2 linked regions of the Mus musculus genome follow. The protein of the gene in region 1 interacts with the protein of each later gene in a pairwise test. Links are inferred from orthologs where the notes say so. Each region holds a gene or a part of one and is shown on either strand. Other genes may lie near its edges.

What was found.
Region 2: the proteins of Exoc5 (region 1) and Deup1 interact in binary tests that used the Homo sapiens proteins (3 or more experiments, as listed by UniProt). The two-hybrid records come from large-scale screens. The link is inferred for Mus musculus from reciprocal best matches to the Homo sapiens genes EXOC5 and DEUP1.

What each region holds. Positions count from the first base shown.
Region 1 is NC_000080.6:49,011,631-49,014,982, forward strand, and holds the end of Exoc5 (exocyst complex component 5), read right to left. Parts: intron 2,720-3,352; coding exon 2,531-2,719; 3' UTR 514-2,530; downstream 1-513. UniProt on the Homo sapiens protein: Component of the exocyst complex involved in the docking of exocytic vesicles with fusion sites on the plasma membrane.
Region 2 is NC_000075.6:15,596,578-15,600,405, forward strand, and holds part of Deup1 (deuterosome assembly protein 1), read right to left. Parts: intron 3,362-3,828; coding exon 3,119-3,361; intron 1-3,118. UniProt on the Homo sapiens protein: Key structural component of the deuterosome, a structure that promotes de novo centriole amplification in multiciliated cells.

The sequences.
Region 1 (3,352 bases):
GCTACACCCAAGTTTAGACAAATAATTTTCAGTGTTTTGGAGGAGCACTTTTTAAACTAAATATTACACATAGTTCACCAAGAACTGTGGACTATTACAAGGTTCTTCTTTAAGCTTTGGCAAAAGGTACTAGGCTCCATTATGTCCATCATGTCTAACTGAAAATTCCCATGTATATATAAAAGCATCTTATCTACTGACAACCATTTTGAGTTATAAATTCTAAACTAAATTTTATGATGTCCATTCATATAAATACTTAAAAAGTAAAATGCAAAGAATAAATACTAGTTTACACAATGCAACATTTTTATTTCCTTAAAGAAATAACTCATCTATTCTAGTTAAGATTTCTAAATCTTGATTACAGTCACGTTCTTTTCTACTAAAAAAGGGGGAGACCTAAGCTATGAAAAACAAGGAATATTTTAAAGTAAAAATTGTTTATAGAATTCATTATAGATGTCCTTAAAGTGTAAAAACAGGGTGAAATAAAAAATAAAAAAAACAACTGCAGGGAATTTGTTTATTGAGCATGAACGTTAACATGTCTAAATAAGGTATTCACTTTGAATTTTCTTTGTCCTGTCACTGGACATAATGGAAAATATTGCACAGAACTCAAGCATGGAAATAATAATTAACAAAATATCTAAGCAACAAGTAACTGGTTTACATTTTAAAAATTAATCCAAACAAAATAATTTGAAGTGCTTCTCTGATTTAGAAGTCTTAAAATGTCATCTGATGTTTCATTTGATATTTTTCTTTCTTTTTTTTTTCCTTTTTTTTTTTTTTTTTTTTTTACAAATTGACACTGTACAAAGAGTTCAAATGGCCAGTAAAACTACTGCCTTAAACTGTTGGCTTTAAGTAACAGAGGTATAATTTGAGTTCACATCAGTACGTTCTAAGTGGTAACAGTACAAGCACAGAGCTTTGCTAGTATCGAGAACCTGTTCTGGCTCTCTCTTTTCTGAGGACAGCTATCTGGAAAGCCTCTAAACCTGCCACTATATCCTGCAAAAGTGACAATGACAAAAGTTGGCCTGCTCATTGCCCGCCGCTTACCATCGTTAACACTGGGCTAAACAGAAAGTGAAAATTCAGTCAACAGTAAGCTGTGCAGTGGTTAGCTCTGGACCTAGGCAGTTTGATAATGTTGATAACTATTCAGTCAGGTTCTCAAAAGAAAAACAGTTCCTCCAAATTAGACCAAAATCCTACACTGAAAGAAAAAAAATGCTATGAATGAACTGAAGATTGCAGTTTACCTGGTTCCTAGATGGCTGTGAACTACACACAACTTAGAATAGTGGACAACATATAACCTAGTTTGTATTCTTAGAGTAAATTGATAGGTCTATGAGCAATGGCCTTTCTAAAGTTTTATTTGATATTTAAAATTTTGTGAGTGAATTATTATGTTGCCATATTAAGCCAATTCAATTAATAATCTTCAAGAAGTACTAACTTCAGAAATGCTTTGAGACTGGAGAATGAGAATGGAGAATGACAGACTCTACAGGTCTGAAAAGCAGGCTTTCAGTGCAAGCTTGCCTCCAAACTTGGAATATATACTATTCATTATCTAAAATTCTCAGTTCCTCTTAAAATAGAAGACTCCTGCATGTTTAGCCATCCCATCTCATTCAAGATTAGTCTTAAGGGACTGACTGCACTGTTGCTAAACATGGTGTTATTTCTCACATACACCGTTTACACTATACATCAATTTTTTACTCCTTTAAGAGTATTAAAATAACAAATATGGTCCTTAAAAGTCTTCCACCTTAAGTTAAATATAAAATAAGGTAGTTTTATTAATTTCTTGCTAATTAATTGACTTAAAATCTATTTATCAAATAAAAAATAGTAAACTTTAAGTTTTACCCAGAAAGCAGATAACATTCTGATCTGTTCCTAGTGTCTACTTAAAATGGTTCATCAACAGTTAGTTCAGCTCGTGAGATTTTCCTTAGACCAGCACTGCTGCTGCCCTACAGGAAAAGCACATCACCACCTACACAAATGATGCTCAACCGGGATCCTCTTGAGATGTGAGAAGTTCTTTAGGAAAACCTAATAGCTTGATTAATAATCACCAGCACTGAAAATTTCACTGAAAAACTGATAAATAAGAAATATAGTTTTACTGCACTTTTGCCTATTTTTAATGCAAAAACAGGAAGATAAGATTTCCAAGTAGAATATGTTAAAAACCAAGAACCAGAACACTGGTGAATTTCATTCATTTTCTGACACCAACATTTTCCAGGATTATAACAGTCATGTAGGTTTATAGAATTTGAAATTTATAAATTAAAGTATAGAATTCAACATAACAGGGAAAAGATAAAAATACAGCTAGAGGTGTCCAAATTTCAAACAAAATTCCAGGTAAGTATGGCTGCTGCTTTCTTCCAGTCATTTTTTCCCATAAAATATTGGCGGTGTCATAAGGAATCTCCTGTGCTTCCCATTACCGAGGCCTTCTGAGAAAACAATCCATTGCCTTTGTAAATTCAGCTCAGCTGAAGTGTCGCGCCAGGCGGGCAGATCTATAGTCAGCACGAAGTTGTACAAAGGAGTGGAGTATGTTCTTGTCCAGATTGGCAAGTTGTTCTCCCGAGCAGACTTGTTTTAAATTATCTGGAGCCACGACCAGGAGATTGCAAAGTGCATGCAGAGTATCAAAAAGATGTAATACCATTGGAATCTGAATGGAGAGAGGGAAGGAAGCACTGAACCACAGCAGTTTATTTTCCTATGCGCTCTGCAAAGTCTTCTCACATCTTGCTAGTCAGAACTTAATAACATGGGGAAGTTGCCTCCTATGTTAGAATTTCTTAAAGCTTCTGAAGAGCTAAAACTCAAAGGTTTCCATAGCTAAAAGTTTTAACCATTAAAAAGATTCATATTGGGCTAGAGAGAGATGGCTCAGTGATTAAGAGCAATGACTGCTCTTCTGAAGGTCCTGAGTTCAATTCCCAGCAACCACATGGTGGCTCACAACCATCCGTAATGAGATCTGACACCCTCTTCTGGTGTCTGAAGACAGCTACCGTGTACTTACACATAATAAGTAAATAAATCTTTGGGCCGGAGAAAGCGGGGCTGAAGCGAGTTCAATTCCCAGCAACCACATGATGGCTCAGAAACATCTGTACAGCTACAGTGTACTCATATACATAAAATAAATAAATCTTTAAACAAAAGATTCATATTACTCAGTTTTTCAATAATTTGTAACTTGGTACACTAGAACTAATTATCTTTAGTATAACACCTTTAAAAATAATTTAAACAAGCTGGGCGTGGTGGCGCACACCTTTAATTCTAGCACTCGGGA
Region 2 (3,828 bases), on another chromosome or scaffold:
TTTAAATTAGAGCTGTGGGTGGATTGTACTTTTGGGGGGCAGCATTGCTCAAGCTCTTAGCGATATATTAACCAGCAAATGAAGTCAACTTTCCCAGCACAGATGTTTGAAATAAGCAGAAGCATTTATTTTTGTCATTAATCTCTAGTGGGGAATACTGCACACTTAGAAACCCGAGGGGCTTGTAGCATAGTAAATAAACATGTGCACTGGGCTGTGTGTGCTGGCACATTTCAGGGTTGTAGAAAGACAAATGATGGTGTGTCTCAGAAGATGTAGACACAGCTGTCGTCAAGTGTGCTGCAACATATTAAATGGCAGCGATTTAAATTGAAATAGTTATCTTTTTGCATTCATATGAAAGATGTGGAACATCAGGTGACTAAAAAGAGATGGCCTTTTTTTTTCTCTCTTTCAAATGTATACTCTGGTTCCAAAATTATTTATTTCTAGTTATCCTTATTTGGTAAAATGCAAATTTTGAAAACCAGATCTAAGGTCCATCCGTTTAGTTAGGAATGTGTCTGATGCTGGGAAAGGAGCAGTGATTTTAACCCTTCAAATGAACTGACAAGCAGTGCACTCTCCACATTTGTGGGAAGCAGGAGGACAGGTCGTGAGTGACACCTGGCCATGACCCAGGGAGGAGTGAAGAAGCAGGGTGCTTAGTGCTTTTTCCAAAGAGAAATCTTGAATTACTTTTCAAAAATATTTTTTCCCAGTCCTATTTTTTCCTAGAACCTTTATCATTATGTGTGTTAGATTTTGTCAGCAGACTTTTCTTTTTTATATATATATATTTTTTATTAGGTATTTTCCTCATTTACATTTCCAATGCTATCCCAAACGTCCCCTATACCCACCCCCACTCCCCTACCCACCCACTCCCACTTTTTGGCCCTGGTGTTCCCCTGTACTGGGGCATGGCCAATGGGCCTCTCTTTCCAGTGATGGCCAACTAGACCATCTTTTGATACATATGCAGCTAGAGACAAGAGCTCTGGGGTACTGGTTAGCTCATATTTTTGTTCTACCTATAGGGTTGCAGATCCCTTTAGCTCCTTGGGTACTTTCTCTAGCTCCTCCATTGGGGGCCCTGTGATCCATCCAATAGCTGACTGTGAGCATCCACTTCTGTGTTTGCTAGACCCCGGCATAGTCTCACAAGAGACAGCTATATCAGGGTCCTTTCAGCAAAGTCTTGCTAGTGTATCAAAAATATTTTTATTAGGACAATAGATATTTTTTCTCTTGAACATGTTCCACAATAATTTGGTTTACTTTTTGTTTGTTTGTTTGTTTGTTTTTCGAGACAGGGTTTCTCTGTGTAGCCCTGGCTGTCCTGGAACTCACTCTGTAGACCAGGCTGGCCTCGAACTCAGAAATCTGCCTGTCTCTGCCTCCCAAGTGCTAGGATTAAAGGCATGTACCACCACGCCGGGCTTTGGTTTACTTTTTAATATATGTAGTGTGTGTGTGTGTGTGTGTGTGTGTGTGTGTGTGTGTGCCTGTGGCATGAGAGTACACATGTGTATATGTCGAGGCTCTCCACCTTGATTTTAATGAGACAGGGAGACAGAGTCTTTTGCTGAACTTGAAACTCACTATTCAGCAAGACAGTCTGGCTAGCAAAACCCAGTGGCTCTTCATGCCTGCCCCCACTGGCTTAGCAAGCCCTGCAGGGAAAGGACTTGGATGTATGCTTACGTTGTCTTTAGACAGAAACTAGAACCAATGTCCCATATCCCAGAGGAGGAGAGGATCCTGCTGGACTCAACAGTTGTGTACAGAGCTCTCCTAGGTGTGTGTGTGTGGGGGTGGGGGGAGACCAGCAAGCTTAGTATTTTCAGTGTAATCTGATTTGTTCATTTACATCGGTATTGTAGTTAATGTTAGAATAACGTCTTTCTCCAGAGAGAGCTGGAGTTCATGATGGGGGAGATACAGTCTCTTAGAAATGCCACTGGAAGAGAGAGAAGGTGGAAGCCTTGTGATCTGAGCCCTCCCAGATGCTGATGTGGATGCTGATGCAGATGTTCCAGGACAGCGCATTGAAGTGTGAGGGAGGGGAGGCTGGCCCAGGACTAAGAAATGATCCTGGGAGTAGAAGATCAGAAGCTACAGGGCAGACTTTCTCAGAGAAACGGGGTCTGCTAGGCATTGTGTTTTAGGATGGGGAAATGAGAGGAGTTGAGAGATGGTTGAACACATTTGGAGGTGGGGAAGTTAGAGTGGAAGCAGAGAAAGGCTGGGGAGGATGAAGGCTGGTGAGAATGTCTCAAAAGGCTGAATAAACACAGGGAAGATCTGAAGAGGCTCAGCAGGGTCTGATTTTGAAGGGTGCTGGTCCCAAAACTTCTCTGCTAATTGCAAAAAGTAGAAGGAAAACATTTAAAAGCTGGCTTAAGGAAGACAAAGCTGTTAGTCTTTCACTGCTCAACAGAGACTGTCAATATCTGATCACCAGATCTGGCCAAGGGCCTGTGTGCTGTAGCCTTAATCTCTAAAGAGTCTTTACAGGCTAGATGGTTGGGCCTTTGGGAGATGGGGGTCCAGTGGGGACCCCAGCCTATCCTCCCTCCCCTTTGCTTGTGGGACATGAGGATTTAGTCTACCTCATTTTCCTGCCATGATATTCTACCCCACCATAGTTAACCAGGTCCCTCCCAAGCCAGGAGCCTAAAGGAACCTTAAATCTTCATGGATTATCTCAAGTGTTGTGTTAAGTGATGGGAAGTAGACTAACGTGGAGCAAGCACTGATAAATCAGAAAGGGTACTCCACTTGGGTCCCCAAGGTCTAAACTTGCAAATAAGATAGGAGGGGGAAGGGTGGTGACTGAATACTGCTGTGTGGATTTTAGGCACAAAGGCTTTTGACTGCTGTTCCAATGCACTGGTAATGTTACACACTGTCACACTGTCATTGTGCTGATGCAGGACTCAGAGGCTAACATACCCACTGGGTCACCGGATTTACTCAGGTGAGAACCACTTAGAGAGGGAGGTCTGACTGGAGTTGACAGTGCATTGGCAGGCTGTCCTGCGGATCCCTGTCCAGCCTGCATCGTCCCGCCCATCAGTAATGGCTGGAGATGAAGCTGAGCGCAGAGCCTCACCTGGCACTGCCTCTGGTACATCTTCAGTTCCTGCAGGAGCTTCTGGTTTTCATCTTGTAACTTGTTCCTGCTCAGCGCGATTTCACTCACGGCCGACTTTAACTTCTCGATAATGAACTCATCTCTTTGAGTGGCTTCACAGCCAGGATCCGACTCACACACCAGGCGAGGGATCTCAGAGCTGCTGTCCTCTGCGCACTGCTTTTTCCCGTTTAGCTGAGTTTGGTAATTTTGTGCCTGTTTCTGAGAAATATGACAACCAGGTAAATGGAGTGAGGAATAGCATATTTAAGCTTCCACAGAGGCAAAGAATAAAATAATTAGTAAAGATCTTTTAGTATGGAGTTTGGCTTATACAGTCCAGGTTTCTGATCTCAACTTCAGATGATGTGGAGAGAATATGTATCTGTGTAAGCCTGGAGCAAAGATATAGAGAAGGGAAGGGGTGTGCAGGAGGAGAGGTCTTATTAATCAATAAAGAAAATCTAGAAGCTATAAAAAAAGAAAAATATTAACTAAATCACATACTAGTCAAAAAATGCCTCTATGGTAAAGAAATAAAAACCAGAAACAGATCGAGGGAAAAATAGTTGCCAACAGAATTGTTTTTTAGCAATTCTCCCTTTGTAAACCCTCTACATAGCAATAGGAAAAGCAAGTGGCACAGAGCCAAATGTGTGGAACATGGGGGAATCATGCTCGGAGGAGGA